Nothobranchius furzeri: one gene and its partners. The protein of the gene in region 2 interacts with the protein of the main gene of each other region in a biochemical or structural test. Links are inferred from orthologs where the notes say so. Each region holds a gene or a part of one and is shown on either strand. Other genes may lie near its edges.

Region 1 (10,940 bases), on a different chromosome or scaffold from region 2:
TCAATAAAATTATAATGCCTTCCAAACGCATCTCTATCAATCAGGGGGGGGGCGACACTCTCGCACCTCTAAGGGGAAGATCATTGAGAGGAGGCCGATGGCGGAGGAGGATGAAAGCTTTATAAATGGCTAACGAGGCTGGAGGTTTGGTGATAATGAGATGAAATGAACCTCAGAATCCTGATTAAAATAACCGTTTTAATCTTTAAGCCGAGCCACAAAAGCAAAGCAACCTGTTTTCCCATTTGTGGCTTAAATCTTTGGGCTTGTCAGCGGGGTGGACAAGCAAGGAAGAGGGATGATGACTGGCCTCTATTCTGATGTTCAATCCCATTTCAGTGAGTACCCCCTCAGACAAGCCACTCCTGGCTGTAATACATCACCTCCACAACAATGGCACACCTCGGACATTAATTAACTATATTAATCTCCTGTGTCCTTTGAGCTGCGAGTGTGCACCGCGCACGCTTGCAGCAGCAGTGATGCAATCTCGATCCATATAAACTCTTGCCTTTTATCCGAGCAATACCGGCACTAAACAAATATCAATACGCCTCTCAAATGGCCACTCAAACGTCTGTTTTTATGGAGAAGGGAGAACTTAAGGTAGGGTTAATTGAAAGTCAAATTCTAATTAATTTCCCTCAGCCTAATTGCCTGTACCATTAGCTATGGAGAAGCAGGAATGGGTGAATCGTAGCTGCTGATTGATCACTTCTCACTTGCACAGAATACAGAGAAGAAGAAGAAGGAGGAAGCTGACCAGGCTTTCTGGAGCTGTGCAATAGAGAAGAGCCCTGGATGTTCCTGACTGTAAAACAGATCAAAATGCTATTACCACATGCTTTGAAGGCTTATTTATGTCCTGTCTTCGTGGGCCTGCTGATTTAATGCCCCACGAATGCAGCTGCTACACAAACAAGAGCTAGGAATCATCCGCTAATGGAAGTCCTAATTGAGAGGCGACCTGCTTGTCATGAGGTAACTCTTCTCTGGATGGAGATGATAGCAGCATCCTGATAAACAACCACCACCACATGCATTAGGGATGATTTAGAAACATTAGCCTCTAATAAATAGCAACTTCACAGATACGGAGAAGATGACTTAAATGATCCTGAACTGAAGGGAGTGCAAAAGCGTTTTACTTTTTAAAGAATGGACAGAAGTTTCTTTAAGCATTGTAGTAAATAAATACACGCTTTTATGCAGCCGGTGTTCATATAAGAACACTTTACTATTATTACCCATCATGGAAACAAAAGGCACTGTGTGTGTGTGTGTGTGTGTGTGTGTGTGTGTGTGTGTGTGTGTGTGTGTGTGTGTGTGTGTGTGTGTGTGTGTGTGTGTGTGTTAGGGCTGGGTACAGAAACATAGTACCTCTTTAACCATTTGGTTCTGTTTACTTCAGCTATAGAGGTGTCACAAATAATGACCTACTTCTTACAAGTTAAGCAACTGGAAAACTCCACATGACTTTTATTTTGAAAGTTTCTGGATGTTTTACACTGCTTTTGTGTTTGACATCCTGTCTGGCCCAATCTGAACTGGTGAGCTTGATGCTTTGGAAGCTTACCTCGTAAGGCCTACCTAGTTCCGTACACTTCTGGGACGCTTCCAAAACGCGACACTTAGCAGACGACGGAAAAGCACCCATCCACTTTAGCGGCAACTAATTACTGTTTACTACGCTTTGTGGACATTAAACGACGTTATGCGTCAGGTGGACAGTGCTGTGTGTCATTTACAACGTTTCTTCAGATTCTCAAACTAAGAAACCATTGAAAACATCAAAAGTTTGGCTGCTTTTTGTGAAAGTAAATGAAAAATCTGTGATAAGATTTGTGTCGCTAAATATGAAAATACAAGAAATTTTATAGCCAAAGCATGCACCGTCCTCCACTGCAAATAAAATAAATCAGACCCGAGTCCACAAGCTTCTCCCTCTGCTGCACATTGGAGGTAGCGGTCGACCGATATTGTTTTTTTCTATTGTCGATACCGACATGTAGTCAGCCGACGGCCGATATGTGCTGCCAATTTCCAGACATTTTCCACCTTATTTACATGCTAAAATGGTACTAATAACATCAGTTGATGCACAAAATTTCCAAAGCTGATGCGGTTTTTGACTCTGAATTCAACTAACTGTTAAATCTTAAAGTTCATTTAGGGTACTTATTATGCAGATGTTACTAGTGAATGTAAAAATACATTTAAATTAAATGTACCAGGCACCAGGCTGCCCGAGGATGTGCCTGCCTTTACTGAGGACAATTGTCGACCGATGCCAATAAAAAAAAAAAAAAGGTAAATATCTGCCTGGTCCATCTCTAACCGGTGGTGACATCAGGCTCCTTTTCTCTGAAGAAAAATTGCTAGAATAAAGTTTAGTGTACATAGTTTTAACTTGTTTCATTTTTCATTTCTACTGTATGTTTATTTATTTAATTCCTTGGGACATAAACGTTTTATATTTCAGGATTTTAGAGAGCAGACATTTTTTTTAACCAAAGAAGCGATAGCAGTTTAAACTTGATCTTCATGCAGTTTGTGTTTGTTTTGCACTAAAAGGTAAATACTAACTTATTGTTTTTTTTATTTATTATTTAAATTCTGTGTTTTCAACTCATTGTACAAAGATGTTAAATTGTAGTTTCCCGTACATTTTAGTTAGGGAAACAAAATAAATAAAAAATAAATTGTAGTTTACCAGTCGCACAGAAAGTTTGCCATTTTTGATCAGTTTACTTATAAAAAAAACACGTTAGTCTTAAAATATTATTGATCAAAAACCAGGTAATGTTGATGTACTGGTATTGTAAAAACTCTAAAAGGCGTCTGGCTCTCAACTCCGACATGGAAGGAAGGCTAGGCCTTTACATCTTATTAAATTTGACTTTGAAAGGCTCACCTTTCCAAGGATCCTGCCCAGGAAATAGTAGTGTCTCGTGAAAGAGTCCCCCACCAGCATCTCTGCAGCAGGGTTGGGGTACAGCAAGCCCTCGTTGGTCGTCTTGAAGAATCCCTGGTTGGGATTGAAGCCCGACTTGAGGAGCTCGTTAAGGAACTCGCGGAAGATGCCTCCACCATCGATGCCTGCCTCGTCCAGACCGTGGGCGTTTAGAAGGTGGACTCTGATCTTTTTCTTAAGATCCGGCTCTGGTTTAAGGACACAAAGAATAAATATCCGATGGAACAAGAAACAAATTCATTAATATTAAAGCAAAACAAAACAATCCCTAAAAAACACACTTTTCATTGAAGCCCTTTCTTAACTTGCCAAACATTCGAATCAATTTCAGGTCATCTTTCAGAATAATAAAGGTACAAAGATAAATCAAGGCGGCTATAACTTATGGACACATAGATGATATAGATCATGTCTTCAGTCCAGGTCTCCTACTACTCTTTTTAATCAGATTGCCCACCCCCTCGCTGAAGTAGCCTTTCAAATTCAAACACAAAAGAGGTGACTTAAAATAATTGATTCTGCTTTTATGTGATCCATTACAATAATCAGAATCACAATTATGCTTTACTGAAATCCAATAGTCTGTTCCAGGAGAGCGGCGTTCTTCATCTTTAATGCAAACTGGAAACTGGATCTTCATTACTGAGGCTTTATAGAACATAATAAGACATTCAGAAACATTCACTGGAACCATGTGAGCGCAAACAGGATGTAATGTAGGCCGATTTCACAAACAAAACAGAACACAAAGTAAGGAGATGCTGCTAAAGTCGAAGACGCCGCTGGTACCGTTTTCTGGAGAGAGTTTATCGTAGGCGTCTTCGTAGATGTAGTTGCGTCGGATGGTGACATTGATGCCATCGGGGAACGGCCCGTCTCCTTGCACGTCATATTTGTCGACGTAGATTAACCTCTGGAAGATCTAGAGGGCGGACGTGAACCCAGCGACAGTCAGTAATGATCCTCAGAGTTCAGACACGTAGAACAGGAAACATGTTCTGATACCTTCACCCTCTCCTCAAAAGGAACAACAAAAGGCAGCTCGGTGAGGATGGCCAGATGTCTCTCCTCGGACACGGATAGCTGCAGAGGCTCCAGACCAACTGCAGTAAAACATAAACCGATTTTAAATAAGATTATAAACAACTTTTCCACTTGTCAAGATACACTCAATTTTTTACTAAATGTTTCTCCCAAATACTTCATGGAAGACAAATTTTAGGAATGAACAATCTGTCAATTTCTGATCGAGTTTGTAATTTCAGAATAGTGGCACATTTGGTTATTTTTACGAGTTTGCTTTCCTTTTCGTGGCACTACTGTGGCCAATATTATTTATTAATGTGGTCGTCTGTCTCTGTCGCAATTGTCTGTCCCTCACTCTGCGCTGTTCTTGAGTGTGAGACAGTGAGTCTGCAATATCCCCACTGAGGGCCAAATAAAGGTATTCTTATTCTAATCTTACTTGCTCGTTTCCTGCAACAAAAAGGATTTACATAATAACACTATGTGGATATTGAAATTTTCTGATGGCACAAACCTTTGTGGAGTTATAGTACGGTATAGTATGGTATCAAAGAACGCGAGTAAAATCTGTCGGCATTTGGCGATTGGTGTGAAGGTGGACCCACCTTGGTGAAACAATGCTAGGGAAACTTTTAATGCATGTTTCTTTTTTAAATAATACACTTGAAAGCAATTCTTAACTTTCAATTTCATCTATGTAATATTAGAAAAGCAGCTTTTAATGTTTTGATGGTATGATGTCATTTCCTGTCATGTTTGTAAATGTTACAGTACATCGTGAAAAATGTGCTGAAGCTTGATTTAAAGAAAATTGTGAATCAAATTGAAATTGAAACTGAATTTTTCCCTAAAACTGTTGAGCCCTAGCATGTTTTGACTGTTATGTTGTGTATCTACTAGTTAAGATACTCCACCTAGCAGCCTTCTGCACTCTGTACACGATGTATTTTGCCTAAGCCCTAGCAAACCCAGCACTACAAGGCTATCTAAACTATTTTTACCATTAAATACAATTTTTACCATTTTTCGAGGAATAGGCTTCAAAATAGGCCTAGGGCTTAAGGGGTTTAGAAAACAGGTTCTAGAACTACATTTTAACAAAATAAAAGAAAAGAAAACTGTTATTTGAGCCTTTATGCAACTTATGAAACTTTGTTTGGGCTCATAATGAACCAGAAGCCCTAAAAATGTACATTCCAAAAAATTACAAATGTGCCTAAACATTCTTCTTCGTTGTTTTCCTCTTATCCAACAAGAACGTTAGCCGTAGCTCGAGTTTCAATCATTAGTGGCTCGTGCTAGAGTTAGCAGAAGCTCGGGCTAGCTTTAGCAGAAGCTCAGGCTAGCGTTGGCAGAAGCTCGGGCTAGCATTAGCAGAAGTTTGGGTTAGCACTGGCAGTAGCTCAAGCCAGCGTTAGCTGTAGCTCGGGATAGCATTGTTCTACAGTTGGTATTACCGCTATTAACGTTTATAGACTGCAGACGTTAAAGTGGGTTGGGACATGCAGATTTAAGGTGGTGTGCTTATGCTCGACGTGTTGTACCAGCTGTTCTGACCATTACAACATTACTGAGTTACATAGAAAAGCATACTGAAGATAGCAAAGATAAATGTGGTTCTGAATTCGAGAAAATCTGAAAAAGCATGCAGAGTCATTGAAAATAACTCAGTCAAGTAATTTTCTTGATTCGTATTTTGATATTTACTTTTTTTTCCCATTGGTAACAGTCCAGCTACAAGGTGTAATTTCCATTTTACTTTCCATATAGCTTTGGTCACAAACCAGCGTTGGCACGTTGAGACTGTTAGCAATAGCTGCTCTAACAGCAGAAGCCCACTCACCCTACATTATCCTTCCTAACAGCTAAACACTGTGATTAAGACTGTTTACAAACCAACCATTAATGGCATATCTGTCCAACAGCCTTTTAATAACACTCTTTTAATTAACTCATCTGTGAGCAGTCTGTCCACTTGCTGAGATGTATCCAATAGGCTAATGTTTGCTTAAACCCAGAGTTTGGACCATTAAGCGCCCCCACCACCCTCGCTTCAAGCCACAATCACTATCCTACTCTTCACCCTTTCCCATTCCAACTACAGCTCAATTATTCTGCTCAATTAGTCAACCTGATCTGCATTTTCCCATCAGGTTTCCATCTTTGAGGAGAAATATGGCCTCGGAGTGGTCAATACGGGCCTCATTTATCAGCCTTGGGCTTGTCCATTTAAGGAAATGAGAAAAGGCCAGACAAACACACGGAGCAGATGTGGCTGAGTTCATCAGGTACTCTCACACTAATTGAATTTATCTCATACAGCCTGAGCGGCATTAGGGAGATCATACACACATTGTTATATGCCTGTTTTCACACTATACATCACAGGCATGTTGTATGGCTCAAAGTGAGCCTGCCTAAGTGTTTTCGTTCGCTTGAGGTTAATGGAGGCAATGAAGGGATGTGTTTAATCGGTCTTAGTGAGAACAAGGAAGGTTAATGGCTTTGTTTAGATTTTCTGCAAATAAATCTGAGCTTAGGGGAACTTAGTGTGCTTATTTTTGCACACACAAAAAACAATCTTGAGTGATTTATCTTGTAAAAGGTTTGTTTTTATCATGCAAAATTCAAATAGGTTAAATCACCATCAAGAGTTGACTGAAGTGGCCCGATTCGACCCATTCTGCGTGTTCTCCACACATGTCTTGCTGACGGGACATACAGCTGAGTGACCTGGACAAAAAAAACTCCTGATGATTCCCTTACATCTAGATGAAGGATACATCTATACGCACACAAAAAAACCTTTAATGCTATAAATCAAAGACTATATTTGAAAAATTCATTCTAATTGACTGAAGTTTCACACTGAATCAAACAAAAATGCAAAATAGAGATAAGAAGTAAAAAAAAGACGACAGCTGAGTACCTTATCCGCTCGGATGTTGACCTCCTCAGACAGCCAGTGACCTGCTGGACAGAAGGGTCGTCTGATGTCACGAGCTTTCACCATCTTCACCAAGTTAGTGATGACCTGCATTGTAGATCAAGCGCACCCATCACGTCAGCATAAACTCGCCCATTACAACACGAAAATAAATAAACAAGTTTTCCCACAATATTCTCTCGAACAGAGATGAGGGGCTTTATGGAAAAAAATCAATTTGAGAATATGGCCATTAATGCAGCATTTATGGGAGTATAAAAGAAAAACGAGCTGCGCCGTTGCTCAACGTCCAGCCCTGTTAATTACCAGCGAGGTCTGCTGACATCAGCCATCGGGCAGGGGAAGCAAAAGCCTCACCGTTAACAGAGCTACTTGCAGTTAATGGCATTTAAAAACAAATAAAATCCATTTTCTTTCTTTAAATAGATGAAAGTGGTAATTTATCGCTACTCTGCAACAGGATTGCTTCATTTTGCAGTAGAGATACCAATAAACCCAAGGTTGACGATCTCTTGGAAATATTGATGAAAACAAGCCTAGAAATCTAGACGAAACATAGCAGTAGCTAAGTACTTGCTCTGCATGCTAGCACGCTCGATTGTAGCTTCAGAAGCAACAGTCTACCATTGGCTCGGCTGAGTTTAGGCCAGGCCAATCAGAGCGCTCCGTTTGTAGAGACGCTGAAGCAAATGTACAAAGATACAGTTGGTTTAGGAACAGCGCTAATTTAGAATGACTGGCATCAACTTTGGACAATTTGGACATTTCTTTGAGACATGAGTAGATAAGAGGTACTTAAATCATGTACGTTCCAAAAGGGACGGTGTCCAGCCGACTGGTTTCCATAGCGATTAATACGTTGTGTTGTTCTGTGCTCTGATTGGTCCTATATTCCACAGTTAGACCAATTAAAGTTTACATGTTTTCTTTGTGAAATTGATTAATTTGAATTTACTTAAAAAAACAATACAATTGTATTTATTTGTTATGGGTATCAGTGGTTCCCCTAGAAATGTCTCGTGCCATGGTGCTAGTTGACTGGGTGGGGGTTTGCTTTCATGTGTCACCTGGAAGGGGGGGGGGGGGGGGTTGCTTCCGTGTGCCGTCCGTGAGAGAGGGAGGATTTTGTGGCTCTGGAATTCCTGTGTAAGGTAAACCCTGAGTCTTTAAGTTGTTTTAACTAAGAATCTTAGAAAAGTTGAGTCCTTTCCACAAAAATTTATTTGATCTAAACTTCATTTTTGGTTCAAATCAGGTAATTTTAACAATTAATTTGAGATTTTCACACTAAATCTAACACACATTTACTGTTTAATTGCATCAATATCTACTTATATTTTTGTACAGATTTAATTAAAATTTTCTCTAGATTTTACAGAATTTTAAATTTAAATTTACTTAATTTTATTATGTGTTATTTTGTTCCCTTAATTTTTTTAAGTAAACCCTATTGAGTTTTTACAGTGTACAACTGATCTGTCTATGGGTCGTGGCCAGGTTATATATTAAATATATAAGGTGGCTTGCCAGGCTAAAGGAAAACTACAACAAAACTTCCAAACATATTAATAATTGCCTACGCAGTTTTAAAGCTCAAATGTGCTCCAACTCTTGAAGAGGTGTTTTATCCTCTCTAGGTGGCCGACTAATCCGACTGAAGCAGCTAGCTGCTGCTTCATTAACAGCACATCTCTTATCTCTGATGATGTCCCTAAACCAAAACCCTCAAATCACAAGTTTCTTCTGCACATGTGCCAGCAGCCCTGGTGGTAGCAGGCTGCCTTGTTGCTATGGCGAGTTACAGCCATTTGAATAATGTCAACGGATGTCATTGATGTGATAAAAGTTACAGCCAGTCCATTTCCATATAATACCCCCAGCTGGATTATTCCAATCGAAACGTTCTCCTTTAAGGCGCGTCATTTTCATAGAGCGGCACTCAATCACGTCCAATCACCAGGAGGCAACGGGAGTGTGCAATAACGGCAAGTGCAAAATGCTGTACAATGTGCGTGGAGATGGGTCTGGAGCAGACCTAGCCCCTGACTCTGGGAATGAATAAGCATTCCTTAATTAGCCCATCGGGTTAAGTGCAAACCTTAATGGGCCTTTCCCAAACTCCGATGTGACACCGTTCTCCAAACATGGCCAAGAAGAAAGTTCCATTAGCAATATTAATACAAGCTTAGTTGATCATTTTCATTCAATTAACTTCTTTCAATTAAATAGATAGCTCGACAATGGGGGTGATAAAAGATGGAGAGGGACGGCTGATGACACCAACCAAACATTAACGTGTTAGGGGTCAGCGGCGTTAAACCAACTGTAAATCCCAACGTTCAATTTGGAAAATGCATTTTCCCTGCTCTTCACTTCTTTAATGGGTCGTTTTAGCTGACAAAGAGGCCTCTGAGCAGATCTTTTATGAAAACGTGCTTTTTTTGTGTGTGCATTCGACACCTTTCACGGAACTCACTTTTAGATCCCTCTGTGCAACGGCCAAGAACAAAAAGAGCAGAGTTAAGAGCTGGGTGAGAGAAAGAAGACAGAAAAAGGAGGAAAAATCAAATAAAAGATGTAGAATGAGAGAGGAACTGGGTTCATGCCATTTTCTGCCTCATTTCCTTTGAGTAAATAACCAATGGAGCTCTATCTTGTCTTTGCCTGCTCATGCAGATACGGCTGATTTCCTCTAAAAGATAATCATTACACATCTTTACGTCGGCGCACAAAGAGACGACACAACAATTAGGTCTAATCACCATGGCGTAAATAAACATAAAACAAAAAAATGTGTCTTGGATCTTGCTAAATATGGAGCTACTGCAGAGACATTTATTATTATTTACATTTTAAATTTTTGTTATTTAGAGCAAATGTTCAGTTTCATTTATAAAAATAATTTTTATTGTTATGCTCATTATGGGAGAATTTTAAATATCATAAATAAAACATATAATGTTTATGCTGTGAAAGAATGGGGGTGCTTAGCACCACTCTTACTGTATCTGGGATTATATCTGTTTAGATCCTACCGCTCCAGCAGGTGGCGCTGGCTCAAGAGCCAAAACTGACTTTCCCCAGCTTAGTCCGTACTGATGGCACAGCTACTTTGTTTAGCCGAGCTACGTCCAAACGACAGAACTGTTCAGGCCCTTTAGGTCAACGATGTCACTTCCTGTGTCCTCCATCGTTTTCCTTTCAGAGTGCTAATTTTTTTCCTACATGGTGCCTGAAATAAGCTGAACAAACATTAGCCGTTAGCATGTTGTGTGGCTCTACTCCAGCCACTTTATAGCAACTTTATAAGGAGGGACCGGCGGCGCCTGTGCTCGGCAGCCTCGCCGGCCTCCGTCAGTGCGCCCCAGGGCAGCTGTGGCTACACTGTAGCTCATCACCATCAGTGTGTGAATGAGTGTGAGAATGGATGAATGATAAACTGTAGTGTAAAGCACTTTGGAGTCCTTACTCTGAGAGGCGCTATACAAGTGCGGGTCATTTATCATTTATGTCAAAAGTTTTTATCGACCTGTTCCCGTGGTAACAGGGAAAACCTTTCTCGAGATAAGTATTGCTATTATTTTATCACCCAGCTCTACTTTTAGGCAAAATGTTTAAAAGATATAAATTATATTTAGAAATGCAAGAATTTCAGGTGAATAAAGCTGCATTTAAAGAAAAAGGAAAGACAAAAAAATCCACAAAAGCTTTTGGAATTAAATGATTTAAAACTGATTTTCTTGGTAATAAATAAAAATTTTAAAAAAGTTTTTAAATGTGGGAGTCTCAGTCAACTAAACAATTTTATCTTCAACCTCTAAACCTGAAGTTGCCAAACAAAAAAAATTAATAAAATGTTTCAACTCAACGTTAATCAATCAGGTCCATTTAATAAAACCAGTAAAAAATGAGAGGGAATAAAAAGTGTACCTTAAAGAGCTGCACCCAGCGTTTCTGCTCAGCGTGAATGCAATGCTGGACCTCGGCGTTCGT
Region 2 (11,720 bases):
AACAGAAACACTTAAGAGCTTGAGATGCGTTCAGTACGCGTGCGTGCGTGTGTGTGTGTGTACTCATTTCACTCAAATCCAGCATTTTAGTTGAGTTTAAATAAATACAGATTAATTACTGTGACCAATTTAATGTCCAACTTTCTAATCCTGACAGCATTTCTTTGAAGTCTCATCTCTCCCACCTCTCTGGCCAGCGCCAGGAAGTTGCTGTTGAGCTGTACGTTGGACATGATCTCTGTCAGGTCCTCGTAGTCCTCCACGTCTTCGTTCAGCTCCAGGAACACACCATGCCGACCCAGCATGAAGGCCATCTGCTTCTGGATGACTCTGGCAGGAACAAAGACACACGGGGAGCTTACGTTGAGCTCACGTTTACTCTCAGCAGGAGGGGGTGTCACAGAAGATCAGATAAACATAAGAACTGATGTGGATCCGCGTTAATCCAGGATGGGACAATCTGAACTGAAGACGCCTTTCGGAGGAGAGGAAACGTCTTTGACCAACAAGAGAGGTTTTGAACTCTTAAGCCTGTTTTATACGTCTCCGTCTGCGGAGATGTGCGCCGCCATTATCCGTGGATCCCTAGGCTCCCTGACAGGCATGCAAGGATGGAGAGAGTAGAGTCCCATTTTTAACTATTCATTGAACACAACAGAGAGCACACGCCTGATTGGTCGGCCTAACAACAACAGTGGCGCCGTCGTTGGTGGATGTACTTTCCACCAACGCAGTCATCTACTTCACTCCGGTCGAACTATTTGCAAGTTTTTGTTTCTTGAGACCAAACTGTTCCCGCTCAGTGAAAACTTGCTGTTGGCCATCGCTCCTTGGCGTTTACAAACGTTTTGCAAACAGGAGGAATGACAAAATCTTAACACAGGAATCTAAAATTATCATCTAAATGAACACCTTCTTCAAGACATCTGCATCAACAGGCTGAAGTAAATAAACTCGTCGACCAGAAGCTGGGCGGACACGGTTGTCCTTTGGGAGTGCTGTAGGACACAGGAACTCATGGGGTTGGAGGAGGAAGATGAAAAACTAAATCAATGTTTTTTCATTTTAATTTGACATAAAAACGCTTTCTTGACAATCACCGTCATTGTGTGTGAAAGTAGTGTATAAATATAAATGACTGACGTGTGTTTATAGGGAAATACACTCAGGTCCATAAATACTGGGACATAGACACAATGCTAACATTCTTGGCTCTATACACACCACAATGGATATGAAATGAAAGGAACAAGATGTGCTTTAACTGCAGACTGTCAGCTTTTATTTGAGGGTATTTACATCCAAACCAGGTGAACGGTGTAGGAATTACTACAGTTTGCACATGTGCCTCCCAATTAAGGGACCAAAAGTAACGGGACAATTACAGGTAGCTTCTCAGCTGTTCCATGGCCAGGTGTGTGTTATTCCCTCATTATCCCAATTACAACGAGCAGATAAAAGATCCAGAGTTCATTTCAAGTGGGCTATTTGCATTTGGAATCTGTTGCTGTCAACTGTCGAGATGAGATCCAAAGAGCTGTCACTATCAGAGAAGCAAGCCATCATAAACGAAAGGTTGATGAAAGGAGGTAGGTGTGTCTGTGTCAAAGTCAACAATCAAGAGAAGACTCCACCAGTGTGAATACAGAGGGTTCACCACAAGATGTAAACCATTGGTGAGCCCCAAAAACAGGAAGGCCAGATTAGTTTGCCAAACAACGTCTAAAAAAGCCTTCAGAGTTCTGGAACAACATCCTACGGACAGATGAGACCAAGACCAACTTGTACCAGAGTGATGGGAAGAGAAGAGTATGGAGACGGAAAGGAACTGCTCATGATCCTAACCCCAAAATTCCACTATCTCCGCTCCGCCCCACTTTCTGCTGCCGCCCGCTTCCGAACTCAAATTATACTCTACCCGCTCTACAACGGCTCCGCTCCGGTGCGGAGACCTGAGGGGCGCAAACAGGCATGCGTGGGATTTTCGAGATCTTGCGATACAGTCCGAGCAATAAACACGGAAGTTAGATCCAAACACCCGTTGTGTGGGAGAAGCATCGAAATGAACTGTTTAATCTGCTCATCATTAGTGTTGAGAGATCAGCAGTGTTTGGATCAACAATGGGTGTAATTTGATAGTAGAAACTGTATTTATGGCTTATTTTTGTGCATTTAAAGTTCAACCGTCATTGATAGTTGTTAAAAGTTGTTAAACCTGTGCATATGAAACAAAAAATGCTTTTTGTTTATCGATTTATTGTGAAATAACGGAAGGTGTGCTTGCTCCCTTTCCTGTTGGGCCGTTGTGATTTCTGTCCATTTACTGCGGAGGTGCTCCGCACGGCCGCAGTAGTGGAACAGCTCCGATTGACTACAACGGAACCGTTTTTGATGCGGAGTTCGTGCCGGAGCAGAGATAGTGGAATTTTGGGGTCAGCATACCACCTCATCAGTGAAGCATGGTGCTGGAAGTGTCATGGCGTGGGCATGTATGGCTGCATGTGGAACTGGTTCTCTTATATTTATTGATGATGTGACTGCTGACTAAAGCAGCACGATGAATTCTGAAGTGTTTCGGGCAATATTATCTGCTCATATTCAGCCAAATGCCTCAGAACACACTGGACGGCGCTTTACAGTGCAGATGGACAATGACCCAAAGCATACTGCAAAAGCAACCAAAGAGTTTTTGAAGGGAAATAAGTGGACTGTTTTGCAATGGCCAAGTCAATCACCTGACCTGAATCTGATTGAGCGTGCGTTTCACTTGCTGAAGACAAAACTGAAGGGAAAACGCTCCAGGAACAAGCAGGAACTGAAGACTGTTGCAGTAGAGGCCTGGCAGAGCATCACCAGGGATGAAACCCAACGTCTGGTGATGTCATGTGTTCCAGACTTCAGGCTGTAATTGACTGCAAATGATTTGCAACCAAGTAATGAAATGTATAAGTTTGCTTTATGGTTCTTATTCTGTCCCGTTACTTTTGGTCCCTTAATTGGGAGGCACATATGCAAACTGTAGTAATTCCTACACCGTTCACCTGGTTTGGATGTAAATACCCTCAAATAAAAGCTGACAGTCTGCAGTTAAAGCACATCTTGTTCCTTTCATTTCATATCCATTGTGGTGTGTATAGAGCCAAAAATGTTAGCATTGTGTCGATGTCCCAGTATTTATGGACCTGACTGTAGCTGGTGAGCCGTGCTGATGCGTGTTTGCGCGTACGTTGCGAGCGGTTCTGGTACTTTGTGGGTCGCAGCTCCGCTTCAACAGTGCGAAACCGTTGCCAGGGACAAGCAAAACATCAAACATGCAAGCTTATGATTGCTGATTGGCAGCTGGTCGTGTGGTGGTAGTCGTCTCATTATACCCTGCATGCTACACCACGCTCAGCGCAAAACTCGCCCCCATCTCGTAGATTCTCGCACGAGTGGAAAATCGGCTAAAAAAAGTCGCACGTGGGTTTGATTAGTGAAATGAAAACATCTGCAGCATGATGATTATAAACCCGTTTCGTCTGACAGTAGCAGGTCACAGAGGCGCTCTCCTTACATGTCTTTGCAGGAGGTGAAGATGTTTTCCACCAGCTCCATGTCATTGAGCATCAGAGCGAGGCGCAGGGCCTCTGGATACCGGTTAAACTCCCTGAAGATGTTCAAGGCACACCTCAGCAGAGCAGAGTTCTCTGGCTCTGGGACGTAACTCACACAGCTAGACAGACAACACAAACCAGCTTAGGTTTCACTCGTTCTGTTTACATTCTACAGAGTGAAGGAAGAGGCGTGTTTTCTGAGCTAACCTGGTGAGGTAGAGGCAGACTTTTCCGTAGGCGTTTTCATCGATATAGTTCTCCAGCATGTCCAAACGCTCGATCTCCATCAGCAGGTCGCAGGCCTCGTGCTCAGCATTATGGGCCATGTTGTACGGCACAATCTCCTTCACCAGCTTCAGCAGGGTCTCCTGTTGGGTCTTATCATTCTCCTCCACCTCCTGCCACTCTTTGGCCACCTCTCCGGCGAGGTGCCTGATGGACATTAATAGTCGAGAAAGCGGTGATCATCAGCAGAGTCGGCTCAAACTACAGAGCGTAACTGGAAAAATGTTATAAAGACTTTTCCCACATGTCCTCTAAACAGTCATGATGTACCGATGCTGCTCTGTAATCCCAAAACAAACCCAAACAGTCCTGCACCTCCTGCGTTTACATGGCGGCTGATCTGGATCAGGTTTACCTGACGTATTCGTGTCCCCAGGAGGCCAGCTCTTCCTGAGAGCCCAGCAGACGGTACTTCAGACACTCCCTCTCGCCGCTCATCGTCATGGCCAACACCGACACCACGTCAGCACAGAAACGCTACGACAAAATACACAGACGTCATGTTGTAAACCACAAGACAGACTACTCGATAAGTCTTTAACACGTTAGTTTGATTAATGTAACTACAATAGATTAGAATAACTAAATACATGGTGACCTCTAAATCTACCCAGCCTGTCAAACACAGGCTTTCAGTTCAACACCAGAAGCTGAGGGATGTTCTTCTTGTATTTGTTTCACAAAAACTGGATAAATTCACGCGTGATTATATTATAAGAAGTAAGGTAAATGAAAATACTGACTTTAGTCACATTATATGGTTTGGACTAGGGCTGGGCGATGTGGCCTAAAATCAATATCACGATATATTGAGGATTTCACCTCGATAATGATAAACGAACGATAACTACAGGTATGCGCAGAAACAACAGTTGTCCACTAGATGGGGCTGTCACATGTATTGAGTCCCATTTTTACATGACTCAAGGTGGTACAGCTTCTTAAAGGGACATGAACCTACACACATCTTTTCATTTTTTTTATTATCAAATTTATTGACACGGGAAAAATTATCTCGATAAGAGTCCGAAATTTCTATAACAATACATTTTTGATTTATTGCCCAGCCCTATTTCGACATATTTTAAAAAGATTACAGGTTAAAAGACACCCTGTCGAAAGCTCTGTTTCGAGAATTTTCACACAAATTTCAAACACGACTGTTTCCATTTGACATCGTGGTACAGCCTCATCCAGAGCTGCACTAGCAAAGTGAAGAGGTAACATCGGGTAAGTAGGGAAACATAAGGTTAGGAGACAATGAGCAGAAGCGGGACATTGAAGATGATAAAACGTGGGGGGAGGCATGACATTTGACGGCACAAAATCTTTGGTAAATGCGCTGTAACGTTGATTTTCTAAATTCTGATCCTCGCAGCAGAGACTTACCTTATTTTCACCAGGAGCCATGCCCTCATAGACTTCTTTCAGCTTGCCGTAGTGTGGGCGCAGGAATTTCAGGGGCTTAGGTACGGAGGTCATGGAGGTGGTGGAGGACCGGATTTGTCTGCGAAGCTCTTCTAATGCAGGACGATACAGCGCTGTGTTCGTGTCCTGCAGAAACAGAAGAATGGCATGTTACTTCACCTTTGCATGGTTTTGCCACGTTGGCAAACAGAAAAGTGATTAAAAAAAAACTGATACTCACACTTAGCCTCTCCACCATCATCTCCAGGTCCTCTTGTAACTGCTTATCTTCCTCTGACTGAGAAACCACAAGGGAATTCAAGATTTATTGTAATCACCACCAAACAAAATCAGGCTGGTTAACAGATCTGCAGCCTTTAAGAAGGAAATAAGAATGCCACAATGCCTTATAAACTGAGTACATAAAACTACATGAAACATTCCATCATGTTTTAAGGGTTCAGGTACTTTCTGCATGTTAAATTTAGTAGGGAAAATGGTTAACATGGCTTATTTACTGTAGATCCTAAGAAAAAAATTCTGAAATCCTATTAAATGTAATAAATAAATATAACATTGACAATTTCATTTTATTACCATAACTTTTACAAGACACAGTAGTGGCAAGGGGATCATAGATGTTGAGGCTCTCTGTGTTTTAATGCGCTTGTGTATTTTTCTGTCTAGAATACTTGTAAACTTTAACGTTTGGGGGTCAGAGACGTAAAACTTTAAACCACTGCTTTGGTTACTGAATCACCGGTTTACAGTGATGGAGGATCCTGAGATGATCTTTAGATGTAAAATTAAACTGGTGACTGAACCCACAATGGTTACAGAAAATCAGAATCATTAGTATTAATATGATCGATATTATAGGTGCTGAAATGCCGTGAGTTTGGCTATAGACGACTGGACTCATACACAGTTAACAACAGCGTAAAATAAGTTTATTTTAACAATAAATTCATATAAACTAACTGCACTAATGACGTTAGCAGCAGCTGGATTAAACACAGCGGATTCATTGACTTTATCCCAGATGCTGTGTGACAGAGGGGCAACGTGAGGCTGGTTTAACACCGATGACAGTCTGCTCAGCTAACGCTAGCACACCGGCTGGGGCAGGCTAGGCTAGCAGGACACATTTTTTGACATTGACGTGACTAAAACAATTAGCGGGTAAAGGTGGTTAAAAGTTATAAAAGTAATGTTCACGGTAAGCTAAATGAGACTTCATAAGCTGTTTATAAAAATAAATGTCCCTGACTTTGGCCTGCTCCACCGTGTTGTCACAGCGGCAGTGACTCAGGCAAAAGAACAACTCAAGCGCCTGAAACGTTAGATAGCACTTAAGAGGGGAGAGAAATCCACAAACTTACCAATTCCTGCTCCTCTTTCTTTTCTTTATCTTTCCCAGAGGACTGCTGTCCCTTTTCCTTATCCTTTTCCTTCTCATCGCTCTTTTCAGACTGCTTGTTCTCTTTCTTTTTTGCCTCCTCCATGATTGAAAGCGTTGAGTTAGCACGGAACTCGGCGACTGTGGATTCTTCTTCTTTGGTATAAATAAACCTTGTAAGAATTTATTTACCACCACCTGCTGGCCATAAGTTAACAGCGTTCGATTATGCCCGAAAATAAAATAAAATAAAATAAAATAAAATAAAATAAAATAAAATAAAATAAAATAAAATTTCTGTACTTGGCTAATTTCAGTAGTGCACATTATCAAATCTAAAGACTTGTGTCCGCACATATGTTGAGATATGATAAAACGCGTGGTGTTATAATAAAGTATCTAAAACTATTTAATATTTCAAGATGCTTATTCGGTACGGAAATCACATATAAAAGTGTGTGAATAGGAAACTCAAATTTCCTACGTTTTTCGAGCCATTTGAAGTAACACATCAGCAGGTCACATGACTTTGATCACATGCTGCCTCTCACTGTTTCCTTGATAGTACACCACCATGGCTGTTCGAGTTCTTGTGCTTTTTCTGTGTAAAGTGTCCTTATTTTTACAGCTTGGTGTGATTGTTGTGGCAGAGGGGAGGTTTTATGGCTTCAGAAAGTTTCATGTGGACTCCAGTCAGAGAGCTGGGAGTGAGGAGCAGTGGTTCACACAGAAACTGGACCACTTCAATGGTGCAGACAGCAGAGTGTGGAAACAAGTGAGTCTGCCTGATCAGCTCTGTGGCATGTTTTATGCGTGTCAGCTAATAATAATAATACTTGAAAATGTACTGGATCAATGTGAGATTGTGTTGAATGTGTCAAAAAGCTGCTGACTGTTTACTTCATCTGCACACAGCATCTGTGTAAGGCGTGTGCTCTTCTGTCTCTTCCAGAGATATTTCATAAATGAGTCCTTCTACAAGAGCGGCGGCCCTGTGTTTCTGATGATAGGTGGAGAAGGTCCAGCAAATCCAGGATGGATGCAGAATGGGACCTGGCTCACTTATGCTGAGAAGCTGGGAGCTCTGTGCTTGATGCTGGAACATCGTTTCTATGGGAAAAGTCACCCCACAGGGTACGTTTGCCGCTGTTTAACACACATGGTGTTGAGTAAGAGCTCGACAGTCACAGTGTGCATGTCGAGTCAAATGCAATAGTATGAAAGTGGCTGAAGCAAAGTGCAGGACAGCAGATAACTATATTTAGACAGAAGGTTTCAGTTCTCTGATCAGCTGAAAAGACAACCACAACCAGCTGCATTTGTGTTCAAGTTAATAAAAACATGTCTTTAGTGTTTAATGTTGACCAACCAGACCCATTTATCACTTATAATTAAAGGGGCATTATGGAAGTTTGACAGCCAAAACATGTATAGAAATAATAAATGTCTTCTTCATACATTCTCCTGCAATGCCCTGGTCCTGTAGAATGAGCCCTGGCATTTTTACTGTGATTGCCTGTTTTTCTGTAAAATCACAGAAAAAGAGAGCTGCTCGGGTCGAGCAGGCTGCTTCATGCGCGTTCACGCTCGGGCATAGCCCGTAGCATTTGCTATCAGTAGCTTCAGCAGCAGAGAGAGAGGTAGTGCCAACTCAGCGACTTTGTCGCTGTTCCTAATGCCTAGTGATGAACCTAGCTACATTTCTGAGGACCCTTAGCCACTTTTTTCTAGATATTTCCTGCAAATTAGCAACAAAATAGCCATTTTCGCTTCGAACCGTTCTTTGGTTTGACGTTGTTTCATCTGTCATCGACATCAAGGATATAAAAGTTACAGATACTGTGACTGTTACTAGAGTATAGCTCATCTTGTAAGATGTCTGACTCCCATGCAGAAGACCTGGGTTCGATTCTGGATGTGAACATAGCTTATTTAGAGTTTCTTTTTTACATTAATGGTATATTTTTTTACAGTAAGATGCCCAAATTTTTATTTGAGACTTGCCGAACGGCATTGAATTCACAGATAAAAAAGATGTGGGTTCAACTTTCATTTTGGAACAATTTTCAAGCAAGGGAAGGGAATGATCTGATCATGCAGGAGGACTGACCCATCATAAACCTTTGTCGGCTGTGCTGAAGAGAAAGGTACAGAACCACATTATTTAATTAATTAGCTGCACGTTCTCCTGTCCTCTGTCCTCCGGGCCACACACACACACACACACACACACACACACACACACACACACACACACACACACACACACACACACACACACACACACACACACACACACACACACAACGGACTGTCTCAGCTGTTATTTTCGTTAAGGAGTGTGCACGTACAGCATGCGCGCCTCGTGCACGAGCCTACTATTGAAGCTGCCGTTACGCTTTTGGCCTGAGGGGGCAATTGCGAGCATAAAAATTCAAAACTCCGTAAAGTCCCTTTAAAGGTGCTAGATAATGAAAAATATTATAATGATCATATTTTTGGTCTAAAGTAAAATCAGTTATGTAGGAAGGAACTTTTCAGAGTTCATGTTGACCGCAGACAGTGCTTCCATCAGCAGGGGGCAGAAATTAGCTGTTTAGTGAGGATTGAACATGTGACAGGATAATCATGAGACAGAATCAATACAAAACAAGCTGCATGGACATGTTTCATAATGTTCAGATTTTAGTTTACCACGAGTGCAACACTGAATTCAAATAGTTTCTGTTTGACTGATCTGTCACAAGGTGAAAACATGGGCAGACAGAGCTGCTGTAAAAGCAGAGAAGATCTGCTACAGAAACCCAAAGGTCCAGTGGGGATAAAATGTTTAAGTGTTCTTATACTTGATAATAGAACCGTAACAGAGAAATGTACTGTAAGCAACTTGCTGCAGGTTCTTCATAATTTGATTTCTGACCAAGCCCCCACAATGCGGGTGAAAAATTGAGTCCAACCCGGAAGTACCAAAAATTGCAGTTCCACCCTCATCCGCTGGGGGCTGGTGTCAGAAGCGAGCAAATCCTCATTGACTCCCATGATAAAAATACCAATTTCACAGCAGAAATAAACATGTTTACAGCCTGGTACCATAACATGTTTTTGGTTTAAATGGTCTAGTTTACACTCATGACAACTCTGAGGGGGGGTGATTTTTTTTCTCACTCTTCTGTTTAAGTGTATTAAAAGCCTAAAATTCTGTATAATTAATGAGCATCAGACCCACGTGACCACAGAGCTAGCTCCGTGGAAAGGCCTCAGTAGAGCCTCGGTCTGGCCTGGAAACTGCTCCGGGATTTTGAGTCTCTGTGTTTGTGTTTTCTTTTTTGGATATTATTTGTGCAATTGTTGGACAAAATGACGTGCTGTGGCATTAATTGCACTAATAGAATGTCCAAGGAATCTCCACTTCATTTTTTTCTATAAGTAAAATTATATTTATGTATTTTAGGTCACTGCCGAGCTGAGCTTAGATTTTAACATGTACTGTTTAACCATGAAATTTAAATGTAATAGGGTAAAAACCAGTGCATTTAACATAATGCTGCACTTTAGAAAATGGGTTGAAATATAACATGTTGGTGGAGCTGGGTTCCGACTATCGGCTTGTGGAGCTCTCGGGAGACCGATGTTTTCCACCCGGTTCTCCCCTCCCTGCAGCTCGGCGCATCTCTGTCTGATCGCGGCTTCTGACTGCTGCGCGGGCTGCCGGCTTGTGGAGCTCTGGGATGGAAACCTTTCCACCCGGTTCTCCCCAGCGGCAGCTCTGCGCGTCTCAGATCGCAGCAGCGCTTGTCTGCTGTGCAGCTGCCGGCTTGTGGAGGTCTCGGAGACCTCTGTGTTCCACCTGGCTTTACCCAGCGGTCAGCCCGGCGTATCTCTGACTCAGAAGCTCTGGTGTTGTGCACAGTTAACTCTGGTTGTAGCTAGGTTGCTACCTCCGTTAGCTTAGCTCCCACCTCTGCGTTAGCTTTGGGTTAGCTTCAGGTTAGCTTGTAGCTAGTTTGACCGGTTGATCCCAGCCTTGCAGCCCCACCCTCAGCTCCTCCTCTCTTCCCTTTAGTGGAATTGTCTGGGCTTGACGGAACCTGTGACACGGTCAAAATGGCGGTGGTGGCCACCTCCCATTTTAGCTCAAAAACTTGTTATTGGAGTCTATGGAAACACATTGTCCATATATGTACAGGTGCTGGCCAGTAAATTAGAATATCATCAAAAGGTTGAAAATATTTCAGTAATTCCATTCAAAACGTGAAACTTGTACATTATATTCATGCAATGCACACAGACCAATGTATTTCCAATGTTCATTACATTTAAATTTGATATTCATAAGTGACAACTAATGAAAACTCCAAATTTGGTATCTCAAAAAATTAGAATATTCTGAAAAGGCTGAATATAGAAGACACCTGCTGCCACTCTAATCAGCTGATTTACTCAAAACACCTGCAAAGGCCTTTAAAAGGTCCCTCAGTCTTGTTTTGAAGGCACCACAATCATGGGGAAGACTTCTGACTTAACAGCTGTCCAAAAGACAATCATTGACACCTTGCACAAGGAGGGCAAGACACAAAAGGTGATTGCTAAAGAAGCTGGCTGTTCGCAGAGCTCTGTGTCCAAGCACATTAACAGACAGGCGAAGGGACGGAAAAAATGTGGTAGAAAAAAGTGTACAAGCTCTAGGGATAACCGCACCCTGCAGAGAATTGTGACGACAAACCCATTCAAAAATGTGGGGGAGATCCACAAAGAGTGGACTGCAGCTGGAGTCAGCGCTTCAAGAACCACCACGAGGAGACTCATGAAAGACATGGGATTCAGGTGTCGCATTCCGTGTGTCAAGCCACTCTTGAACATGAAACAGCGCAAGAAGCGTCTCGCCTGGGCCAAGGACAAAAAGGACTGGACTGATGCTGAGTGGTCCAAAGTTATGTTTTCTGATGAAAGCAAGTTCTGCATTTCCTTTGGAAATCAAGGACCCAGAGTCTGGAGGAAGAGCGGAGAAGCACAGAATCCACGTTGCATGAGGTCCA
Region 3 (9,746 bases), on a different chromosome or scaffold from region 2:
AAAATGTTTTAAGCCTAGTCTTAAAAGTAGACAAGGTGTCTGCCTCACGGACTAAAGCTGGGAGCTGGTTCCACAGGAGAGGAGCCTGATAGCTAAAAGATCTACTTAGATATTCTAAGAACCACTGGTAAACCAGCAGTCTGAGAGTGAAGTGCTCGGTTAGGAACATATGGAAGAATCAGGTCACTGATGTATGATGGAGCTTGATTATTAAGAGCTTTATATGTGAGAAGAAGGATCTTAAAATCTATTCTGAATTTAACAGGCAGCCAATGTAGGGAAGTTAAGACAGGAGAGATATGATCTCTCTTTAATTCTCATCAGAATTAAAATTCCTTGTTAGTGGCGGTCTTTGCCCACAAGTTCATCTTTTCTTTTCTGTTTCCTTCTTTTACATTTACACTCCAGAACAACAGATCATGGAAAGTTTTTGGGAAAAACCACAGAGTCATAATTTCAACTACAACAATAAGTGTTTGTGTGCCTTTGTGTTTGCGAAAAGTTGTCTTTCTGGCTCTCCCAGCTCTCCTCAAATTCAGAGGAAGTCCAAAAGTTAATGAACAGCTTATATTTGTATGCTAAAAGTTATACCAAGCTCAAGTTAAAGGCAAAAGTGGATGTGGTGGAAAGTCTATTATTGCATGTGTAATTCTGATAAGGAATCCTATAACAATGTCAGAGGGAGTACTTAAAAAAGTCATTTGACTTCAGTGATAAGGTAGAGGGTGCGTCTGCAAAGCTTCTAGTTTCACATTAAATTTAAAGGGAAGAAACAATTAGACATTTCCTTTCAGCTCAACATTTTAAGGGAAAGTGAAAAGTCATCCAGGGCTGATTTCATTCGAAACCACAGAGCGTGCTCTCCTTGGGCGATAGTCGACTGATATCTTTTTCATAAGCTGGACAGAAGCAGAAAAAAGACTGAGCAGCTTGGTTAGACGTGTATTTATAGTAAACGTTCTCATTACACAGAAGGGCAGCTCCACAGCTAAATGTTGGTGGTTATAGTGGAGAAGATAAGATAAATACCAGAAACTCCTTCATAGATTGTTCTGATGAGTGTTTTATTGAGTTCATTCAGCAGTCTTCTGTGTGACTGGACCCCGAAAAACAAACTTTGTTCATTTTGGTTTTATCAGGAACTGACTTGCTCATGTTTTTGTTCTGAAGAATCCTCATGATCATGACAAGACACCTGGTTTCTTAGCTCACTTCCTCCTCAGTGGTCAGCGTGGCCGAACAAGCGTTCACCTGATTTAACTTTCAGAGGAACTGTGACCGGTCTTTTGTTTGAAACTTTTGTTAGTTTTTTTTTTCATTTAAGCAAATTTCTGAGGGAAAAAATTGTTGATTTTTATAAATATGATGATTTAATTCTGAAAAATTGTTCATTTGAATTTGTTATCATTGTTTACACTTTATCAACAAAAGACACACACACACACACACACACACACACACACACACACACACACTGAGAAAAAGAGAAGGGAGGGGGTCGGGCTTTCCAGTCTTCTGCTTCTTCATTGATAAATACTCCAGCTGCCTGCTGAGATCAGTCAAACAGCACTCACTCAACAAAGCCTCATCCTGCTCTACTTTTAAAATCTGAACATTTTGGACCAAATTTGGGCATCAAGGTAATTTAAAAAATCTGAATTCATGTACTTTCTGCTCTTGTTATGCGTGTTATTTTGTTATAAGTCTGTTTCACTCAGATTTGATTTATGTACATATTAAAAAGAGCAACAACCACCAATGATGACACAGAAGAGTAAAGATATGTTTTTTTATTCATTTTCTCTCAACGATATAACATTTTCAAGCAGGTTTTTTTGCAACTTTGATGTGACACACTATTATTGTGATGAATTCCTGTTCAGCAGCTTAATCTGTTGAGTTTTGACATTTTAAAATTACCTAACAAATAATATTTGTATGTAACCCGCATAACTTTTTGTCATTTCCTTCAGATGCATTCTCTAGTCCTGATGGTTCTGTGTGCTGGTCTGAGCTTTGCCACCTCTGATAGCCAAGATCATAACCAGGAGACACTGATGGACAATGGTTCTTATGTTTTTCTTTATTCACAATCCTTTAATATTTCTGTTACTTTTTTTTTTACCTTCTGTGAAGCCAATTTGGACTTCTTCTGCTCTGGTTTTCCTAGTTCTGGTTCTGAGGGTGTCTCACGTTCACGGTTCGAGGATCAAAGTGTCTCTCAGCTGTGGAGAAGCGTATCAAGACAAGCCTGTGTTTTGGAAAAGAAACGGTAATAAAACTATCAGGTTTTCCTGCGCACACACACACACACACACACACCTTTGCCGGTAATTAAACATTTAATGGTAAATATAATAAAAGGTACTATAAAACGTGTAGCCTGTATTACAGATCAGGCACAACACAGTAAATTTGCTCCTTTTTTAACGTTTATGGACACTTGAGTGTTTAACTTGAATCTGTCTCAGGTGTGGAGCTGACGCCGGCGCTGCAGGGCAACCGGGTCACGGTTCTGGTGAGAGAGATGAACGGAGGGAACTACACTTGTCATCTTAGTCCAGACGGAGAATACCTGAACCACACTGTGATCCTGGTCCAGCCAGATAACAGGACCGTCATACTGGAGGAAATCTCTCCTGAAGGAGGTGAGATAAGAAGGATGGAGGGGCGTTTGAATGGGGTGTTTATCGAACCATACAATAAGCTTTTGTTGCAGAAAAAACTGCAAACAAAAAGAGATAAATATTAAACAAAAACAAGTCTGTTGCACCTCCACTTTGGAATGAACTTCCTTTATTTTTACATTTTATCACAATCTATAAAGGAGCTAAACCCCAATTTAAAATCGCTTTTGCTTAAATCTTTTGTTGTTTTATGATCTTTTTTAGTCTTGTTTTCATTTTTATGTAAATTTTCTTTGTGAAGATCGTTGTGCTTTTTCTTTCTGTGATTGGTGCTTTAAAAATAAGCTTTACTTACGTTACGACAAGAAAATACTCATGTAAACTATGAACTGGCCTTGTGATAAATATTCTAGATTGCAGATTTAAAAATTGATTTTTTCCTTGAAGCTCAAGTGTAAAAAATATTCTTTATCATCAGAAAAATTCTGGTTCAACATGATTAATTTTGGCCTATTTAGGGCAAAATAATACCATAAGGTTAGTCAGTTAAAGTACTTTTAGACGCATTTGTTTTTGACTACCCAGTAATTGTTAGTTAGGGGAGTGTATTGGGAAGAATCTGGAAATACGATATTCATCATAATACTACGATAAATTGTGATACTAAAATCCAGATGATATTTGCATTTTTTTATTTTATCAGAAGACTCAAGCCAGACTATTCCAGGACAAATCCAGTATTAGAAGAGCTGGTTGTCCCGTCAGAAAGATGAAGGTCAAATCTGCTGCCCCCTAGCAGTGAGAGTTTGAATTGCACTGTTTGTATGTAAATTCTCAATGAAAATTGATACTCTGCTTAGAAATATTGTTACAATATCATAACATGTAATTTGCAATATTTCAGTGTGCCAATATGTTCGTACATCCCTGTTGTTCGCGATGAAAATTTTGAAGTGCGGATGTGTGAACTGACTGTTTTTATTCCTGCAGGTCACATCCACTGCTTGGCCCCAAACTACAACGGTTCGTTCCACTGCAGCTGGACCAGGACGCAGCACCGGTCCCACGCAGCTGTGCTCCTGGTCAAGACAAACCGGTAAAGGCACTCCAATGTTTTCTACTCCTATAATGTCTCACGGGTCGTGTCCTGATCAGGATGTAATTTCACCAACCTGTTTGGTTCCAGTTACATGGACAAGATCCCCTGTGAGCTGGAGGCGGATGGATCTGGGGTTATTTGCCAGGACGCTAGCTGCCCTTACAAAGAGGAAAGGCACCGCATCACTCTGACCGTTTACATCCACAGCTACTCCCGCCTAGAGGCCTACACCCGGTCTTTCTACCTGAGAGAGATCGGTAAGTGGTTTTATGTACTTTTCATTGTAAAAGTGGAGCTTTTCTTGTATATTCTTGAACTGTTGATGCACATATAACCAACTAGACTTCTGCACATCATTGATCCTCTGTATCCATGCTTATTGTTAAGTTTCACCCTTTTCCTCTGTTCCTCAGTGAAGCCAGAAAAACTCCCTAACCTGCGAGTCAGCAGTGGCCAAGTGTTCAGCTGGGACGCCCCCGACTCCTGGGACAAGCCCGGTTCCTACTTTGGGCTCCACTTCCAGATTAAAGTGGCCCGCATTGGTCATTCCTGTAGCAGCGACAAGCCCATTCTGGTGAGAAAAACGCAATTCAGACGCTGACTTCCTGTTCATCCCTTTGTCTTTATTTATTTATTAGTTTATTTTTGCACAGACTAACATTACCGAGGTCAGAAAGTATGAAGTGAACATCACGTCCAGGAGGTATGTTTTCTGTGTGCGTGCACAAGACAAACACACCTTGGGACCGTGGAGCAACTGGAGTCAGTGCACGTGAGTTGGAAACGACTGAAGGTGTTACTAAACAGTTAAATATGATTTATTTGATTTCATCCTGTTTTTTTTTCCTTTTTAGAGTGAACAAAAGCGATGTGGTCTGCTAACTCATGCTTCTGTTCGGCTGCCAGGAGAGAAGGAAGAAAAGGTTGATGGAAAACGGTCTTTCCCTTAATCTGATTTCTTGTTACATATTTTTTTATACAAGGCAGAAGCATAAATGTACAGTATTTATTCATCTTTCCCTAAATTGATTCATCATTTTCTACCTTTATCTATAACTTATTTCTATTTTTTTAATAATTTATAATATTTGATAATAAAAAATTATACAAGCATCTTAATTTCTTGATGTTTCTGTGACTTTGTGATCATCTGAAGCACATTCTGAGGCTGCTTTTGATTTATTATATGAAACTTTGAAAGAGACAATGAGTCGTTTTTACCATTAATCTCTGAATATATCTGTTGAAATCTTGAAGATGAATTAAATGATGCCCAGTTGTTAAAACATATTGGCAGCTTTGTAACATATGACCATAAAAATCAGGTCTGAAGTACATGGGAGTGGGTCTAAGGCCCAATCTCAATACTCACACTGCACCCTTCAGCAAAGTGCACTTGGAGAAAGTGCACAGTAAGGCTTCCAGTGCGTGGTACGCAAGAGTGCAAATAATTGGGACGGGGAGCATTCATCAGTGACAGCAATGCATGCTTGGATGTTGGTCGCTATACCTTTTTTAAAAAAAAAACTTTATTAACAACTTTCAAACAACCAAACAATTATTTGAAATTAATTTACATGTCTAAAACATTCAGTGCATCAACTAATTGTCCTAAAATGCACAACTTTCAGCAGAAAATACGTTTTCAGAAAAGGCACTCCCACAGCAATGGATTGTGGGTAATACCCTTCACCCAAGTCTGCATCGATGTAGACTTGGGCAAAGTGTGGATCAAGGGTGCAAAAGGGGCGTGATCAACTTCCGCACTTGAGAATCGGGACACCCTACGCACTCGCACCCCTGGTTGGGATTGTGTTTCCTTCTACGGGAGCCCGTAAGGACAAAATGCATTTACTGAATTGTAGCACTTACACAACTTTCACCATTCATAAATGTTGTTTCACGCATTTATGTCTTCGCTCGCTGCCAGTGATGAAAGGGATTCTGATGCGCTCGTCATTTTGCTGGAGGTTGTGCTCCCATGGATTTTTGACCCTAATGGCCATCCGTTGATAAGGTCTTACGAGCACTAAAATTCAGCTTGCTTGCAATGATGTAGGTATACTGCCCCGCCCCCTACACCCAGAAAAATACACACTGTCACTTTAAGAAATGTTTAAATTACTTTAGCATTAACGAAGAGCAGAGACAAGTTAGGTTTTAAAAAAATGGGAACAGAAGGTTTATTTTGATATTAGCAGCCACATTATCAGGAACATCATTAAATAGAATAAAAAAAATAAGGACTTCAATTTCAAGCATTCTGAAACTTGTCAGAAATGTTTCCATCATCATTTAAACTCAAGATATTAATACAACTATTTCAAATGCTAAAAATAGGTATTTTTCTTTTCTTTGTTCTTTTCTCACAAACAATCTACCTATAACAGTTTTACTTCAAATCAGAAACAACAAAAATGAAAAGGGAGAAAACTATATTTAAATGTGCTGCAGCAGCATCGTGTACAAATGTACTCATGGAAACCTGATCACCGCTGCACGTTTAGAAAATAAATGTTTACCACCCTGCAGGTCTGTGTGCAACCACGTCTGCGATGATTACCAACGTTAACACAACTTTCTCCATCAAAAACGTGCAAAACAAAGCTTTGATGAAAGGGTTTGATGTTGTTTTATCCCACAGAATCATCACTGCATGCCGCTGAAATGTAAACACCTTTGATTTCAAACTTTTTAATACAGATCTCCATAACAACTTGAACATAAGGGCCTTCCCAGATATGCGGCATAAATGAGTAACTGTTACATGATAAACGACTGCTGAGTCGCTGAAAACACTTTTGATATTTTTGATGTAATTTGATGCTTTCAGTGTTCCACGGAGGAGGAAAACATCACTCACTGACCTGAACCTGAATCGTTTATTCCATCTATCTTGTTACGGAAAGAGAATTTGCAGTTGCACCAGAGTGTGTTTACTTTTGAATAAATTTAGCTTTACGGTTATGTTATCAGACAAAGCCGCAGGTCTTCATGAGCTGGTTCAAGTTAGTGTTGTCGGAGTAAATTATTTTTATTTACCCAACACACTTAAGAGTCGTAATTACCACTGATGTTGTAAAAAATTTAAAAAAATAAAAAACATTTGGGAGAAAAACGGTTAGGTTGAACACATGCATATGGATAATTACAAAATCTTTGTCAGTTCCGAGGTGAATGAAAGGTGTTTGACTTCAGTCCGAGACCCAGAACGGGGGACGGAGGCGTCCAGTCCAGGTGTTTGGAGTTAAATCAGTGAGGCTGCCTCTTAGATAGGTACCTGCACAAATGATCAGATCGTTTTATGAAAACTTTCTACAAGACCATATAAATATTTGGGATGTTTGTTTGTTTTGGGTTCCACATGTTCTCCTACCTCTCCCAGTGTTTGTGGTTGAGTCCACTGAAGTCCTCCAGCTTGGCGATTTCTCTTAAGTACTGAGCCAGTTTATAGAGCTCCCTGTCCTTCTCTCTGGTGAGGTGGGCCTTCATGAACGGTCGGATCTAACACGGGTTTACAGGTAAGTCTCGGCTCAATAAAGATGAAAAAAGGAGATGGGCGGGGCCTACCTTTAGTCCATTCTGTGGATTCATGAGGAAGTTTCGTCCGATGTCATCAAACATGATGGTGTTCTTCCTGTTGTAGAACTCTCCATACTTCCCCCATATCACCCCTAGAGGCTTCACCTGGAGATATGCAGAAAATCATTGTTACTTTCAAAAACCTGTCAAAAACACCAAGAAGGAACTGCTGCAAATGTGTTGGCATCGCTGATGGAGTCACTGTTTGTGCACAAACACTTTGGTTGTTAAGTCCTAACTCCTCTTAGCTGTAAGCATCCTAAACCATTTATCTAGACTGTATAAAGGTAATAAAATATTGCACAAACTAAAGCTTAACAAAATAAAAGAATTCTGCAGCTAAATGTGATTTCTGCTTCTACGTTTGTGTAACAACAGTGTGTGTAGGTGTGTGTTTTATTTTGTGTTTACTGACCTCCACCACTCCTCTTTTTGGAGTGTGTACGGTGATCATGGCTCCACTATCCAACATGAATGTAATCTTGTAGTTTGGGTTGTCTGTCACACCGAGCTCCTACACACACACACACACACGCACGCACACACACACACACACACACACACAACTCAAATTACACCAAGGCAATGAAAATTACATTATCAACACTTCCACCTACTGGTGTTATTATTAATTTCAATTATAACTGTTTGGATTTTCACTTTTTTATTGAGCGGCTTTCAAGATAAAAATTCAATATAATGAAAACAACATTAAAAATGTTTTTAAGATAAAATAAAAATGAAGATTGAAAAATAAAAATGACTGGTCTTGCTCCTGACTCGGAAAAGGACTACTGATATAATATGTGAAGTACGTTGGTTAAAAACTGTTAAAAGATGGAGGATACTTGCTTTCATTTTGGCTTCTATCCACTTCATACTCGTAGCAGCTACAGAAAAAAAGTATGAAAATCAAAAATAAAGCAGAGCAGTTCACTTCAACAAACATAATATTTTTAATAAATAATATTAACACATACACTGATCCTATTTTATATTCTTCTTTTTTAACGTGAGGAACGCCTCTAATTCAAAGTGTTCCCTAAAATAAATCTTGTGCCCATTTTTGACATAAATAATCAGATTATCAGCCTCAGGGATCAAAGTTACACATATATATTGTCTGTTCTAAAGCAATGACAGAGTCTTAAGAAGATGCCTACACCAGATGACGATATCGTAGTCCTCATATGCTGATGTAAGAAACTCATGAAGGTATGGTCTCATCAGCTCCTGACCCATTTCTGCACATGACTTGTGATCTAAACACAAAAACAGGATTGATTCAGCGTGTCTTAGATGAGAAGATGCTGATAACGTTGCACAAAGAATCTATGAGTAAAAAAATTACAGAAAAGAGATAAGGAGTTGAAACAAATCAGTGGCATCTCACATTGCTTCCCGACAACTCACCAAACAGTGTGTAGTCCACGTCCAGCACCAGAAGTCTTTTGCCTTCTCGGGGAGGGTTAATTTCCTCCACCTTATACTCTTTTATTCTTCGGGCTATTTTTGCGAGGTTCTCCTCTCTAAAAGGAAAAAGAAAAGCTTGATGTACACACATGCAACCTTTCTGAGACTCTTCGAGGGCTCCGATACCAAATAAATCCAAATTATCTCACCTGTTCTCGACCTCTATGACCTCCTCCTCAATGTCAAAATCATTGATGACATCATCATTTTCTGGGGGAGGGGCTAAAACATCTTCCTTTACAAAACAAAACATATGCACAGTTATAAGCGTAGCAGGCCGATCAGCTCACCGATCAGCATGCAGTTAGTGTTTGTCACCATCCTGCCTAATCGTCTCTCCACCCACCAGGCTTTCTTCTCTGGTACCCATCATCATAATTTTGGTGTTTGGCTTTAGTTTCAGAGAGCCCAGCTTCACCTCGTCCTCTGCAGGTTTACCTGAAGACAGAGTTTAAAACAAAGACTCAGAAGGAAACGATTTACTCCACGTGATTTAAAAAAATGCATTTCAGAAATCAATGGTGTAATCTGAATGTTTCTTTTATTCTGGTTTCATATATTTACACTCTTCTAACCTTTAATCTTTAGTCCAAGAAGTTTTTGTCTCTCTGGCAACACCCCAGTCAAACTCTTAATGGACTGTTTCAGGTCCATCACAGTGTCCTCCTCAGACAGAGAACTGATAGAGTACTCCTGTCCTCCCCACTTTATGATCACTGATACCGACATGGCTCACACACACACACACACACACACACACACACACACACACACACACACACACACACACACACACACACACACACACACACAGGCTCTTCACTCTCACGGGTGCAACATAGATCTTTGTGAAGACACCTTTAGTCCCAGCAACAACTACATGCAAGAGAACCTGGAAAAAAGTACACAAACAGGAGGTCTATCAGTTGGCAGAGCTGCAACCGGAAACATTAAACAAAGACTGC

What was found.
Region 1: the proteins of psmd2 (region 2) and ube3c form a complex in vitro, tested with the Homo sapiens proteins (2 studies listed by BioGRID). The link is inferred for Nothobranchius furzeri from reciprocal best matches to the Homo sapiens genes PSMD2 and UBE3C.
Region 3: the proteins of psmd2 (region 2) and ublcp1 form a complex in vitro, tested with the Homo sapiens proteins (3 studies listed by BioGRID). The link is inferred for Nothobranchius furzeri from reciprocal best matches to the Homo sapiens genes PSMD2 and UBLCP1.

The regions. Positions count from the first base shown.
Region 1 is NC_091747.1:47,534,254-47,545,193, forward strand, and holds part of ube3c (ubiquitin-protein ligase E3C), read right to left. Parts: coding exon 10,878-10,940; intron 7,035-10,877; coding exon 6,930-7,034; intron 6,734-6,929; coding exon 6,646-6,733; intron 4,078-6,645; coding exon 3,980-4,077; intron 3,897-3,979; coding exon 3,764-3,896; intron 3,163-3,763; coding exon 2,915-3,162; intron 1-2,914. UniProt on the Homo sapiens protein: E3 ubiquitin-protein ligase that specifically catalyzes 'Lys-29'- and 'Lys-48'-linked polyubiquitin chains.
Region 2 is NC_091753.1:19,341,694-19,353,413, reverse strand, and holds the start of psmd2 (26S proteasome non-ATPase regulatory subunit 2), read right to left. Parts: upstream 6,853-11,720; 5' UTR 6,791-6,852; coding exon 6,668-6,790; intron 5,584-6,667; coding exon 5,527-5,583; intron 5,433-5,526; coding exon 5,268-5,432; intron 4,356-5,267; coding exon 4,234-4,355; intron 4,026-4,233; coding exon 3,801-4,025; intron 3,713-3,800; coding exon 3,554-3,712; intron 331-3,553; coding exon 186-330; intron 1-185. Other genes in the region: prss59 (thymus-specific serine protease), read left to right, coding at 7,259-7,459, 7,637-7,818. UniProt on the Homo sapiens protein: Component of the 26S proteasome, a multiprotein complex involved in the ATP-dependent degradation of ubiquitinated proteins.
Region 3 is NC_091750.1:56,490,563-56,500,308, forward strand, and holds the end of ublcp1 (ubiquitin-like domain-containing CTD phosphatase 1), read right to left. Parts: intron 9,674-9,746; 5' UTR 9,511-9,673; coding exon 9,357-9,510; intron 9,220-9,356; coding exon 9,128-9,219; intron 9,017-9,127; coding exon 8,931-9,016; intron 8,838-8,930; coding exon 8,722-8,837; intron 8,571-8,721; coding exon 8,472-8,570; intron 8,199-8,471; coding exon 8,161-8,198; intron 7,823-8,160; coding exon 7,724-7,822; intron 7,414-7,723; coding exon 7,297-7,413; intron 7,231-7,296; coding exon 7,103-7,230; intron 7,007-7,102; coding exon 6,979-7,006; 3' UTR 5,234-6,978; downstream 1-5,233. Other genes in the region: il12bb (interleukin-12 subunit beta), read left to right, coding at 1,974-2,067, 2,171-2,272, 2,472-2,648, 3,618-3,723, 3,814-3,983, 4,140-4,300, 4,380-4,498, 4,581-4,608. UniProt on the Homo sapiens protein: Dephosphorylates 26S nuclear proteasomes, thereby decreasing their proteolytic activity. Recruited to the 19S regulatory particle of the 26S proteasome through its interaction with 19S component PSMD2/RPN1.